3 linked regions of the Rattus norvegicus genome follow. The protein of the gene in region 1 interacts with the protein of each later gene in a biochemical or structural test. Links are inferred from orthologs where the notes say so. Each region holds a gene or a part of one and is shown on either strand. Other genes may lie near its edges.

Region 1 (4,996 bases):
TCTCACTGAGGAATGTGGCTCAGTGGTAGAGAACTTTGTTCACATGTGCAAAGCACATGTTTCACCCCCACTGCCAAAACACAAAGAACTCACAGAACCCCTTTGAGATGAGAAAACACTGCTACAATTTCCTCTTTATTCATTCACTACTTTTTCCTTTCTTTTTTAGATTTATTTATTCATTTTGTGTATATAAGTACACTGTCAATCTCTTCAGACACACTAGAAAAGGGCATCAGATCCTATTACAGATGGTTGTAGGACACCATGTATTTGGTGGGATTTGAACTCAGGACCTCTGGAAAAGCAGTCAGTGCTCTTAACTACTGAGCCATCTCTCCAGTCCCTTTGTTTGTTTGTTTGTTTGTTTTTTTTTGTGACAGGGCTTCTTTTTGTAGACCTGGTTGTCCAGGAACTAACTCTATAGACCAGGCTGGCCTTGAACTCGAGAGCTGCCTGACCCTGCTCCCTGATGCTGGGATTAAAAGTATGGGCCAACACTGCCTGCCTGCCTGCCTGCCTTCCTCCCCCTCTTCCTTCCTTCCTGCCTGCCTGCCTTCCTCCCCCTCTTCCTTCCTTCCTTCCTGCCTGCCTTCCTCCCCCTCTTCCTTCCTTCCTGCCTGCCTGCCTTCCTCCCCCTCTTCCTTCCTTCCTTCCTGCCTGCCTTCCTCCCCCTCTTCCTTCCTTCCTGCCTGCCTTCCTCCCCCTCTTCCTTCCTTCCTTCCTGCCTTCCTTCCTCCCCCTCTTCCTTCCTTCCTTCCTGCCTTCCTCCCCGCCTTCCTCCCCCTCTTCCTTCCTTCCTGCCTGCCTGCCTTCCTCCCCCTCTTCCTTCCTGCCTGCCTTCCTCCCCCTCTTCCTTCCTTCCTGCCTGCCTGCCTTCCTCCCCCTCTTCCTTCCTTCCTGCCTGCCTGCCTTCCTCCCCCTCTTCCTTCCTGCCTGCCTTCCTCCCCCTCTTCCTTCCTTCCTGCCTGCCTGCCTTCCTCCCCCTCTTCCTTCCTTCCTGCCTGCCTTCCTCCCCCTCTTCCTTCCTTCCTTCCTGCCTGCCTTCCTCCCCCTCTTCCTTCCTTCCTGCCTGCCTGCCTTCCTCCCCCTCTTCCTTCCTTCCTTCCTGCCTGCCTTCCTCCCCCTCTTCCTTCCTTCCTGCCTGCCTTCCTCCCCCTCTTCCTTCCTTCCTTCCTGCCTTCCTTCCTCCCCCTCTTCCTTCCTTCCTTCCTGCCTGCCTTCCTCCCCCTCTTCCTTCCTTCCTTCCTGCCTTCCTCCCCCTCTTCCTTCCTTCCTCCCTTCCTGCCTGCCTTCCTCCTCCCCTTCCTTCCTTCCTTCCTTCCTCCCTTCTTCCCTCCCTCCCTGCCTGCCTTCCTCCCCCTCTTCCTTCCTTCCTTCCTGCCTTCCTCCCCCTCTTCCTTCCTTCCTCCCTTCCTGCCTGCCTTCCTCCTCCCCTTCCTTCCTTCCTTCCTTCCTCCCTCCCTCCTTCCCTCCCTCCCTGCCTGCCTTCCTCCCCCTCTTCCTTCCTTCCTGCCTGCCTTCCTCCCCCTCTTCCTTCCTTCCTGCCTGCCTTCCTCCCCCTCTTCCTTCCTTCCTTCCTTCCTGCCTTCCTCCCCCTCTTCCTTCCTTCCTGCCTTCCTCCCCCTCTTCCTTCCTTCCTCCCTTCCTGCCTGCCTTCCTCCTCCCCTTCCTTCCTTCCTTCCTTCCTTCCTTCCTTCCTTCCTTCCTTCCTTCCTCCCTTCTTCCCTCCCTCCCTCCCTGCCTGCCTTCCTCCCCCTCTTCCTTCCTTCCTTCCTTCCTGCCTTCCTCCCCCTCTTCCTTCCTTCCTCCCTTCCTGCCTGCCTTCCTCCTCCCCTTCCTTCCTTCCTTCCTTCCTTCCTTCCTTCCTTCCTTCCTCCCTCCTTCCCTCCCTCCCTCCCTGCCTGCCTTCCTCCCCCTCTTCCTTCCTTCCTTCCTGCCTGCCTTCCTCCCCCTCTTCCTTCCTTCCTGCCTGCCTTCCTCCCCCTCTTCCTTCCTTCCTTCCTTCCTGCCTGCCTTCCTCCCCCTCTTCCTTCCTCCCTTCCTTCCTGCCTGCCTTCCTCCTCCCCTTCCTTCCTTCCTCCCTCCCTCCTTCCCTCCCTCCCTCCCTGCCTGCCTGCCTGCCTTCCTTCCTTTCTTTTTTTTTTTTTTTTTCGGAGCTGGGGACCGAACCCAGGGCCTTGCGCTTGCTAGGCAAGCGCTCTACCACTGAGCTAAATCCCCAACCCCTTCCTTTCTTTTTCTAATGTTCAAATGCTAAGGTTTTTTAGGCAGCAGGGGGATTAGCCTTCAGCTCTGCCTGGCCATCCCTACCATCTCTGAAACAGTCCCCCCTGCTCCAGCACACACAGAAATAGGGTCAGTTAGAACCCTGTCGTGTTCTAGACTGATTTCTGGCTCTAGTCTTTCCTTCTCTGGTTACTGAGCAACTTCAAGTGAAGCAGCTTCCAGGAACCCAGTCACTCTCTTGGATCGGTGACCCACACACGCTGCCTGCCACACACTCATTTATGTGATGGTGTATTTATGACCGGTTTCGCCGAAGTCACCGTCACGAGTCAGGGATAGACAGCTCATGCCTGTAATCCCACCTGCACAGCAGGACACACACTGCATGCTACATACCCTCCTCCATTACATGCATGTACATGTACCTGTATATGTATGCCCCACCCCAGGTGCATGTGACTGTTTCCACCCAGAGGAGGAGTGGAAGTACACCGTCATGTCTACGGGGTCCCCTCGATCTGGATCCTGACGAGGGCACTTCTGCCATTCCCAAGGGCGCTTTGTTTCTTCCACATATGCATGGCCAGTGGCTATCAGCTTAGGGTGCTGTGACCCCACCCTGGGTCTGCTTGTCTTTGCTTCCTGTTCCCCTTTCTCCTCCCCGGCCTTAGGGACTCCTCAGGGAGAGGAATGTTATTTGTCATCTGGTAGGCCTCAGAAGGTATGCAGGGGATAATCATCTGGGTTCCCGCTCTGAGTGAAGTCACCAGCCGGGGAGACTTCTGGATCACACTCACCGTACTCTTCTCCTCGCAGGATTTCGGGGGCGATATAGTTCGGGGTTCCACAAAAAGTGCTTGTTGTGTCGCCGGGGCCTAGGCCTTCCTGTGGGGACAGAGTGACCAGGAGGGTGAATCTCACACGGAGTAGCTCTCCAGTGATTCTCCACTGTCAACCAGAAAACTGACATAGAGTTACAGGCCTGGGTGCCTCAGTATGGCCACCACTGAGCTAATGCCTCGGCAGGGAATACTTCTGCAGGATGCCAAGGGCACACACAGGCAATCGAGCTGGGGGGGACAGACAAGGTGGGCACCTTGCACATGCCGTAGTCCGTCAGCTTAATGTGTCCATCGGCATCGAGGAGGACGTTGTCCAGTTTTAGGTCCCGGTAGATGATCCCTCTCTCATGTAGGAAGTTGAGAGCGATACAGATCTCAGCAGCATAGAACCTGAGGTGGGAGGCATTCTGTAGTCAGTAGAGGGACAATGGCAGGCAGCCAGACAGGAGCCCCGTGAGGTATCCTGGTCCTCACTGGGGAGATGCGAGTGTAGATTGTAGTGAGAGCCACTTCCTGCCCACCACAGCCAGAGTAAGTGAAGAGAACTCGGGACCCTGGACGCCCCGTGTGTGGTTGGTGGGAATGAAACCCTCAGAACATGAAATCTAGGGTTGTGTGCAGCTCAGTGGGAAAGCTCCTGCCTCACTTACATAAGTACCAGGACAAACAAGCAAATAAGAATGAAAATCTAGGGTTGTGTGCAGCTCAGTGGGAAAGCTCCTGCCTCACTTACATAAGTACCAGGACAAACAAGCAAATAAGAATGAAAAACGAAAAATCACACTAATGCACGCATGCCTGAGGCTGGAGACAGCAGAGGAGGCCCAGTAGTATGAGGAAATGCCACCATGATATCCATTACCCTGTATGCATGTTTTAAAAACCGAAGGGGAAAAAAAATGGAAGTGGGGTCTCAAGCCATGTTGAACGCCTATGCCTGTAGCAATCTTATTCATAAAAGCTAAAACGGGGAAGTAGTGGATAAAGGGAGCACGGGTAGGGCAGAGTGGCTCATGGTTGCAGGTTTGAGGCGGGTCTGGGTCACACAGTAAATCCCACTGAAGAGGAAGAAAGGGAATAGGAATGGGGATGGGGAGAGAGTAGGCCCTCGGTGCAACGGAATATTACCCAACCTTTGAAAGGAAAGGGTTTCCAACAGGCCACATGGCGGGTCAGGAAGATGACATCATGCCAAGTCAAATATACAAGAAAACAGATAATCCAAGATTCCACTCAGGGCACTCTCTGGGATCAGACAGGAGGGATGGAGATGAGGAGCCTTGGAATCAGCATTCCAATGTGAGATGGCAATAAGTCATTTGCTGTCTCTGCCCCCTTTCCCTAAAAGTGGCCTCGGTGACTCACAGGACTTCATACGGGGAAAACTAAGTAGGAAGGGGCCATCGAGAAGCTGAGGACAGAGGGCTGGATGGCAGCTGTTCAAGGCCAGAAACGGAACCGGGGACTCTCTCCTGATGCTAGTCAAGGTCTTCTGTATTCTAGCGCTGAGGGAATGTGGACTTTACAGGGAAGAGGACAAAGCCAGATGTCACAATTGTGAAAACAAGACAGCCGGGAGCCTGGTCTCTTGGGCGAGGGGCTTCCACTGAAAGTCTAGGGAGGGACCGGTCTTGGGTGCAAAGCTCCAAAGATTCTCCCAGAGGCTTTGGATTTTCTTTTATTTTTTTTTTTTAAAAAAGGTTTATTTATTTATTGTATTATGTGATTACATGGTCACTGTATACCAGAAGAGGGCATAGGATCCCATTACAGATGGTTTCCAGCTACCATGTGGTTGCTGGGAATTGAACTCAGGACCTCTGGAAGAGCAGTTGGGTGCTCTTAACCTCTGAACCATCTCTCCAGCCCCCTTGGATTTTCTTATACCACGGCAAGGTCTCAACTTTGCCACCTTCTGCCCGAAT
Region 2 (4,395 bases), on another chromosome or scaffold:
ACGAATAGGACAACAGTCTCCTGTCTGTTCCCTCCTTGTCCTTTAATGGTTTTACATTTTGTGTATAAACCTTACACACTACAATCAGGATAGTCTCTTGTGAGGCACTGGCTGTGTCAGCTGGGTGTCACGCTGTCAACAGCAGTCTAACAAGGCTCAGGGCAGAGCTGCTCCTTGACCTTCTCACTCTGCTTAGGACACTCTTTCCTGCACTCACCCCATAATTCCAATGGATGAGAGGAGCATTCAATCAGGAGCCCCTAAAAGTAGTGACACACCTAGGCCTAAGGTCTACTTTAAATACCACCTCATCACTTCAACGCAAGCCTAGACAACATGTAAGACTTAGTGCTAGTTTTCTTCTTGCTTTGCCTAGAATTTGTATTTCTCCTGCCTAAGCTTCCCACCAACTAAAATAACAGCTGTGTGTCACCATGCTCAGCAAGTAAAATAAATTTTTAGCTTACTGAGGACCATAATCAAGGTCTTACACACCGCAGGTAAGCACTTTTCCAACAGCTACACTCACCCCCCCCCATATATTCTTACAATTAGAAATTAGCTAACGAATCAAGTGCTTCATATTTGACGTCTTTTCTTTCCTTTGGGCAGGATGCAGCTCAGTGGTATTCACCTAGTGTATAGAAGGCCCAAATCCCACCTCCAGCATGCACAGCAAGTCAATTCCATATTAACCCTTGCTTATTTTTAAGTCTCTTAAGTTTGTAGACAACCCCAGTTAGAGTTAGTAAAATAATTTTAGCTACAGACTTTAACAGGAAGTAAAACACATAAAGAATGGACAAGTCTCTTAGACAAATTGAACACACACAGAAAAGTAGCCCATAGACCAGAGACACTCATTTCTACCTTTTCCCCGAAACACAGCAAATGCTGGGTAACTTTTTCACCCAAGCCTCAAAACTTCAAATTACTACTCATCTGAAGAAGGAAAAACCCAAGAAGCCAACCATAAGCATGGCTTTATTGGGATCCTATTTAAATAATAAATAACCATTTAAATGAATTTTCAAGAACTGTTGTTTTAGTTTGGTTAAGACAATGGTATATATGGGGTTCATGTTCAAACCTTCAGCACAGCAGAGCATCAACCCCACCTTTCCCTGGGCTAGAGACCAGGCAAGCAAGGGGTGCACTTGTTCCCACCAAACATGCACAACACTAAAGGACAAGAAAACCAACTTCAAAGACAAGTTAGACACCAATAGTAGCAAGTTTACTTTTTTTGTTGTTGGGTTTTTGTTTTTTGGAGATAGAATCTTGTCATGTAGCCTAGGCAAGCTTGTCACTAAGTAGTCCAGGCTAGCCTGTAACTAACTCATGATTCTTCCTCCACCACAAGAAACCTGGATACTTCTGCTGAGTAAGCACATGACTGACTCTGGGGTGAAAAAAATGAAACTACTCAAGACTTGAAACAGAAAGGAGTAACTTAGGATAAGTTAAGCCCAAAAGGTATCTATCTCTCATAAGTACTGGCAATGTTCTCAATAAGGTAGTTTTCTTCTTGGTAAGCTTGTAAACAGTAGATAGGACGCTATATTCAGTTATCTGGCCACACCCTTCAGACTGTCTTAGGTACTCACTGTCAAGTTGTCTCTCAGTAACTGCATTATTAGCGTGCTGTCTTTGTACGACTCTTCACTTAATGTATCAAGTTCAGCAATGGCTTCATCAAAAGCCTACAAATGCAAAACAAAGTACACCTTAGAATTCAAATAATGAACACTGCCCAATTCCCAAGTAACAGGTAAAATACATACTGTTTTTGCAAGAGAGCAGGCTTTCTCTGGGGAGTTCAGGATCTCATAGTAGAACACAGAGAAGTTGAGGGCCAGACCCAGTCTGATGGGGTGTGTCGGCTGCATCTCCTTTTTGCTGATTTCAAATGCTTCTTGGTATGCTTGCTGTGACTGGTCCACAATTCCTAGATAATGCAACACAGTGAAATGGACTTTCAAATTCTATGCTGCAGCTTAAGCCAAACTTTTCATTTAAGATTGCATGTGTCCTCTGAAATATACGCTCTGACAGTCTTATCCAAATTATACTCTTTAAAACAAACAATGCTGTCCTGGATCACACTAGTCACTCGCTGTTGTCAAGAGAAAAGCAACTCAGAGTGGAGCTGAGTTGAAATGATAACTCTGAGGCAAAGAACACTGGCTACTTTTCCCAGTCTGGTTTGATTCCCAGCACCCTAGGGACAGCTTACAACAGTCTGTAACTGCAATTCCGGGGGATCCAATCGCGCTGCTCTGACCTACAACAGTATCGGACACATGTGCCCAAACACATGCAGGCAAACACTCATACACACATCCATCTGATCACCATCTTGTGATTTCCTCATTCTACTCTGAGGTTAACCTCTGTTAACATCGAGGAGACATTCTTATACAAACAGCTTTTCAGAAAGCTTCAAGTTCAAAATACTAACAGGCAAAAACACAAGACAAAAAGAAAGAGTGCTCAGTTCTCTAAGTAACATAACAGAAAAGAAGATGTATATAAGCTCAACCAAGCAAAACCAGCTCACCTTTCTTGTCATCACCAGCAGCAACCTCAGCCAAGTAGCGGTAGTAGTCACCCTTCATTTTCAAATAGAAGACTTTGCTTTCTGGCTGCGAAGCATTGGGGATCAAGAACTTTTCCAAAAGAGACTTCAGAAGAAAAGAAACAGAAATATTAAGACAATACTTACAAATCAAAGTAAAGTATTTTTCTTAAGCAAACACTATAGACTCAGTTGTAAAAGATTTCAAAACAAAACCTTAGTTTTTCTAACAGCACAGCATTCTAGAGTGCTGGTGCAGGAGGACTGTGGTGGATGAGGACCAAGCTCGACTGCAAACCAATGCTGTCTCAAAAGTGTAGTAAATCAATAAGCAACTCAAGGCAGGGAAAGGCCAGATGAAAAAAAAACACTTGTTAATTTCAGCATAGCAATTGGTCTTATCTACAGATCATCACAAATGGTAAAATTTCATCCTGTAGCTTTGCTTAAAACTATTAACAACTTAAAGCTTACTGGAATTGTCACACACCAAATAAAACCAACCTTTTATAGCTAATTTCAAGTAGATGATGTAACTGCATTGGAGAGAAAAAGGTAGAACTGAGTGAATTTAAAAACAAACCAGTCTCTTACCATACCCACTCCCTTGGATACCTCTGCTTTGAAATCAAGGTGATGTTCCTGCTCATCTGGGCTGAACCCCAGATGAGCCAATTCTTCCAAGAGTACTTAGATTCTGGTTTTTATTCTCTGAAAAGATTTGAGTATCTATTATCTAATGATGGGGGACATAAGTGAATACACTTGAATCCTGCTGCCTACTCTATGAATGTAGACAGGTCATAAAGATACAGTTAACTGAGTGACCACCCCTCATAAAGTACATGATTGGCAGCTGGCGTGGGCACCTTTGTAATCTCATCACTTAAAGGCAACACAGAAGCATTCTGAGTTCAAGCATAGATTGTACTACTCATGGAGAGACCCTGCCTCTAAAAACAACCCCCCCCCAACAATAACACACTACCCAAAGGGCTAGAAACGTGTCTCAGTGACCTTGCACTGGCCCAGCAAAGCCACAGAATCAACTTGAGTGTGTGGAGGGTGCAATGTAAAAACCTAAAGTTATGACAGAAACTCCTTTAGGCAGTATTGATAAATGTTAGTGGGAATTAGCAACCTACTTTTTATCAGTAATTTCTGTATTCCTAGAAACCACGCTGAGCAGGGCTGTGGCCACACATCTTTAATCTAGCACTGGAGAAGCAGAGGAGCCAGTTCGTGAGCTCCAGGTGAGTGTAGCTAGAGCCAAGTGTCAGGACAATCAGAGCTACAGAGACCTCTGAAAAACCAAACCAAACCAACCCCCCCACCTTACTGAAGATTGCAGGAACAGACCCAACAGCAATCCCTCAGCCTCAACACTGAAGTGACTCACTTCATTAATTTTCAGAGTGCCAACCAAGTAACCACAATGTCTAAACCTCTCTTAAAAGGACCCCATGAACAAAACCATCTAGTTGGATGCACACCCACATTTTCTGGGGATAATCACAGGCTTCCAGAACCATGAGTTTTTCATTTAAACCAACAGCAGCCAAAAACATCTGAAAAAGTCACTTTCAACTTATAACAGGTCCACCACATGTATGGGGCCTGGGAATCTACTCATGTCAGTGACAGCAGCATCTCCCCATCTTCCTTACAGAAAAAGCCGTCAACACAGGGGTTACAGTAACTTCCTAGTTCCAAGGACTATACAATCTTTTTTATTTAAAAACTGTGAGCACATAGCAGTAAAGGATTCAATGAATCCTGCCTTGTCTTGCTTCCTGATAAGGAAGTTTAGCTGTTAT
Region 3 (4,996 bases), on another chromosome or scaffold:
GCTTGTTCTTTCAGAATGCACAGATTGATTCCCAGCACCCACAGACCACTCACGATGCCTGCAACACCAGTTCCAGAGGACCTGACACCTCTGGCTTCTGAGAACAACTGTACCCATGTGTGCAGAACAAAACACACACACATACTCTCTCACAGACACTCACTCTCACACATACACATACACTCTCTCATATACACACACTTATACTTGCATTCGCACACACACACACACACACACACACACACACACTCTCGTACATGCACACACAATTTAAAAATAAAGCTCTAAGAAGGAAGGCCAGTGGCAAGATGGTCTTGCAGCTCGAAGCACCTGCTGCCTATCCCCCTACAAGCTGTCCTCTAACCTCCACAAGACTGTCTCTGTCTCCATAGTGGTTAGAAACACAGATTTTCAGGCTGGAGAGATGGCTCAGTGGTTAAGAGCACTGACTGCTCTTCCAGAGGTCCTGAGTTCAAATCCCAGCAACCACATGGTGGCTCACAACCATCTGTAATGGGATCTGATGCCCTCTTCTGGTGTGTCTGAAGACAGCTACGGTGTACTCACATATATAAAATAAATAAATCTTAAAAAAAAACACACACACACATAGATTTTCTCCCATACATTCAGGAAGCGTGGATGTTAATTAAGCCGGCAACACAATGCTTTAGCTTCTGTACTACCTGGTGTAAGACTTGCACAAGAGGCAGGCACTCTGTCACAGGCAAGCTCCCCACCCTCCGAAGTGCGTGCTCCTACAAAGGCACTCACCCTTCTTCTGTATAAAGACCCTGAGCAGTGGGTTGGCAGTGGAAACGGCCTTGTGGTAGTTGTCATCATTGTTTATGGGCAGCAAGTCCCCGTGGATGTCTGCGTAGCCCACTAGCACGTCAACGTTGGGGATCTTGTGAACGTGTTGCAGCAGTCCATAAAACTCCTCAAACTTTCCGGGCTTGGATCTTTCCAGAGAAAACCGCCGAAACTCAGCTCCGAACTACGAACATAAAGAACGTATTAGAAGGTACAAAGTTAGCCGCCTTTAGTCCCGCTTGGGAGGTAGAGGCAAGAGGATCTCTGTGAACCTGAGGCCACAGAAGCCCCGTGGTGAACCTCACTGCCAGGAGCGGAAGGCAAAGAGGTGCAGGAGGCATGGCTACAATCCCCATGCCAGTTCTCTCAGGACAGCCCTGCATCAACTCAGCTCCAACCTTGGGTGACACCGGAGGCATTCACAGGCCTAACTTCCTACCACGGCGGTAACACCCCCATAAAATGACTTATCTTTCCGTGGGCTGTAAGAGTCACATCTAAGTGTATCAAAAGGACTTTGAGCTTCTTGGTATGACATGAGTGACGTCATCATGTAAGGACTATACTGCTTAAGGACAGGAGAGAAGCCTAAGTTTGTGTGGGGAAGGAAAAAAGCGTATTAACACACCAGCTTTAAACCCTGCCTGGTCTGGTTAAGGAGCATGTTTGTGTGCTGGGACCAGGAGGCTGGCCTGCTTCAAAAGCTCAGCAATTAGTGAGTGAGGAGATTAACCGCCTGAGGGAGGCAGGAGATCACAGGGCAGGCAGGAAGCACCCTCATCATTCCCACTTACCTTCCAGGTCCCTCAAGGCCACACATTAAGGCTCCTCCACTGGTGTGGTAAAAGATCTCAAACGGGGAACCTAAGAAAGGTTCATCTGCCCTCTTCAAAAAGAGCCTCCTTACGAGTCACTGGGTACACAGCACATTAAATGCTCAGTTAAATGCCAGGAGCTGGGCTGATGGCTCAGCAGTCAAGGGCACGTGCTGCTCTTGCGAGGATCTGGGTTCAGTTCTCAGCACCCACAAGGTGGCTCGCAAACACTCTAGGTGTCTCTCTGAGGCTCCCTTCTGACCTCCAAGGACACCAAGCAGGACACATGGGGCACATGCATGCATGCAGGCAGGCAAAATAGTAGTACACAGCCACTAGAGGGAAAAAGGAGGGGGGGTAGGAAGGGAGGGACATTTGCTCACCCAAGGGGTGGGGTAGTTAAAATCCTATTGTTAACTTTCTTTGTTTGAGGCTAGAGATGGACCTTCGTGGTAGAGTATGAACTTCACATGTGCAAGGCTCTTGGTCCAGAGCCACGAAAAAAGTGTAAATGTTTGCTAAACACGTCTGACTGCCAGACTCTCTTTCTGTATAAATTCTGAGGCTAGTCAGGAAACGTGAATGTTCCACAGGAATAGCAGGTGCCAGGCAGAGAAAGGCCCTTATCCCAACCGGTATTCTCGGCCAACAGCAGTCCCGGGACACCCAGCCGTCCAGCCCTCTCTCTACCTATGGCCGACCCTGCTCTTCTGCTCCCCATTCGACATTACAACAAAACCCCACTGGCCGCTTCTTACTCTTAACAAATTCAAAGTTTCCAAAACACATACCTGAGATATAAACACTAACATTTGTCAGGAAAAATCAGGTGACTCATATTTAAAGTTCTCAAAAAGTTAGTCACGCCTACGCACTTCAGAGTAAATAAAACCCAGGAAACACCCTTCATATCAGTCAGTCTTACGATGTTATCTGAGGCAGTTTCTCCTCCATTTTCAGGAGGCGGGTCTCACAGCACAGCCACAGTCCACACAGGGCAAGCTGACTCATCCCAGGCTATCACCCCCTCCCCTGCAATCTGAATGGAATACACCTAATGACTTAACCCTTTAGGTTTCCCCAAAGCTTCTGGGTGCAAGCTCTCTGTGAACACTTTCTTCTCTGGCTTAAACACTTAGATATTGACAGTAGATTGTGCCCCCAACCCCCAAGAAGGCTGGCAAACGATGAAGTGCGGATGAGTTACTTCGTGCAGCAAAGTATGACTGTAAGAACTTTTCAAGACATGAAGGAAAATCAGACAGAGATCAAACGGACCCAATCAACAATTATTCGCCATGTGATTTTTCTGGCTTGGAATCCAATCTTGGCCTGTTTCCTAGCATATTCTAGAACTTAGGTTTTTTGGGGGGAAGGGGAATGGACCCTGGTCCTCTGGAAGAGCAGTCTGTGCTCTTAACCACTGAGGCTCTCCTCTAGCCCTAATGTGGTTTGTTTGCTGGACTCCCCTGAGGAGCTTTAGCTGCTCTGGGACTTGCAGTGAGAGCTGGGGCTGTGGGGTGTGCAGCACTGTTAATATTGCATTTGCTCATGGGTAGCAAAGAGGACGAGGCATGTCCCAAGACTGTGAGGCTGCGGGCAGGTGTCTTGGCTGTGGCAGAGATGCTGCCAGGCCTGAGTATGCCAGTCAAGCTCCACTGTAGCAGCTATAGCCCCTGTCCTTGAGACCAAGGTTACCTAAGGATATCACACTGATTATGGAGAACTTTCGGGGGAAACAATCAGGAAGCTAAATCAGTTACCAAAGAAAGCTATCACCCAGTTGCTGGTATCACACTTCTAACTAGACCCGTATTTACACTCCATTATTCTTACTATCTGTACCATGTCTCCCTTCCCAGAGCAAAGATAATAAAGTCGACACTATTGTTTCTTTCTTTCTTTCTGGTTGTCCAAGATAGACAGGGATTTCTCTGTGTAGTCCTGGCAGACCTGGAACTTGCTCTGTGGACAAGGCTGGCCTGGAACTCAGAGATCCTCCTGCCTCTGCGTCCACATGCTAGGGTTAAAGGCATGGGCCACCCCTGGCTGACACTACTGTTGCTGTGAAGGAGATCCTACCCACCTGCACACTAGCCAGTTCTAGTTAGGATCACGTAACTGTGATATTATAGAACTGACACTGGACCAGCAGCTGGTTCAGTAGGTAAAAGTGTTTGTGGCCAAGGCTCACAACCTGAATCCAATACCCAAAACTCACATGGTGGTGAGAATCAGCTTCCCAAAGTTGCCCTCTGACCTACACTTACACGGAGGTACCTGTGACTCTCCATATACTCTGTAAATGACCAGAATGTAATGAAAATCTAAATGAGCTTTTACCATTTACATAACACAAAATGAAAGTATTTTTACAAATCTGAGCTAGGTAGGACTAGCAACACATGCCTTTACTCCCAGCGGAGGCAATGAGATCTCTGTGAGTTCGAGACCAGCCTGGTCTACATGAGTTCTAGAACAGCCAGGGCTATGTAGAGAGAGACCCTGTCTTTTTTTTTTTTTTAATAATTTTTATTTATTTGTTATTTATAAGTACACTGTAGCCATCTTCAGACACACAAGAGGGCATCAGATCCCATTACAGATGGTTGTGAGCCACCATGTGTTGCTGGGATTTGAACTCTGGACCTCTTAACCACTGAGCTGTCTCTCCTGCCAAGGGACTCTGTCTTAAAAACAACAACAACAACAACAACAACAACAACAACAACAGAACACACACTGCTCTTCCAGAGGGCCCAAGTTTAGTTCCCACCATGTGTCCAAGCACATGTAACTTCAGCTCCAGTGAGTCGACGCCCTCTTCTGGACTCCGTAGGCACCTGCACTCATGCACACACACACATTTCAGGACAGTCAGGGCTACACAGAAAAATAAAACATCTCAAAACCTCACAAAGCAGGCCTTTGCTGTCTGTCATTCGTTAGCAGATGAGACAGCCTGACAGCATTTCCCAAGTGTATCTTCTGACTCCCTGCCTCTGTTCAGGGGAGGGCTCACACTATTAGTATAGGTACGGCAGCTGAAATACACACCACACACTTTGGACAGAACTATGTAAAATATTCAAAGATCAGTAAATGGAAAAGGAAAACAAAAAGCTTGAAATTCCAGTCCACAAGAGCTCAGTTTCCTGCCGGCAGAGACCCACTCCTATCTGACTGGCTGGCACACCTAGCATCTCTACTTATTTTTTTAAATGATAAAAAAAAAAAAACAAAAAAAACATTAAGGACTCACTACCAAGATCGGGACCATAAAACTCAGTGTTGGTAGTACACAACATCGCAAGTGGTTTTCTTTTCTGACCTCAAGTCCCACAAGCCCAACTACAAAGAGACGCCAG

What was found.
Region 2: the proteins of Prkcz (region 1) and Ywhaz form a complex in vitro, tested with the Homo sapiens proteins (2 studies listed by BioGRID, with this or other methods). The link is inferred for Rattus norvegicus from reciprocal best matches to the Homo sapiens genes PRKCZ and YWHAZ.
Region 3: the proteins of Prkcz (region 1) and Pard6b form a complex in vitro, tested with the Homo sapiens proteins (2 studies listed by BioGRID). The link is inferred for Rattus norvegicus from reciprocal best matches to the Homo sapiens genes PRKCZ and PARD6B.

Annotation. Positions count from the first base shown.
Region 1 is NC_086023.1:171,111,120-171,116,115, forward strand, and holds part of Prkcz (protein kinase C zeta type), read right to left. Parts: intron 3,462-4,996; coding exon 3,326-3,461; intron 3,115-3,325; coding exon 3,027-3,114; intron 1-3,026. UniProt on the Homo sapiens protein: Calcium- and diacylglycerol-independent serine/threonine-protein kinase that functions in phosphatidylinositol 3-kinase (PI3K) pathway and mitogen-activated protein (MAP) kinase cascade, and is involved in NF-kappa-B activation, mitogenic signaling, cell proliferation, cell polarity, inflammatory response and maintenance of long-term potentiation (LTP).
Region 2 is NC_086025.1:69,828,238-69,832,632, forward strand, and holds part of Ywhaz (14-3-3 protein zeta/delta), read right to left. Parts: intron 2,685-4,395; coding exon 2,561-2,684; intron 1,949-2,560; coding exon 1,785-1,948; intron 1,704-1,784; coding exon 1,608-1,703; intron 1-1,607.
Region 3 is NC_086021.1:177,211,499-177,216,494, reverse strand, and holds part of Pard6b (partitioning defective 6 homolog beta), read right to left. Parts: intron 998-4,996; coding exon 775-997; intron 1-774. UniProt on the Homo sapiens protein: Adapter protein involved in asymmetrical cell division and cell polarization processes. Probably involved in formation of epithelial tight junctions.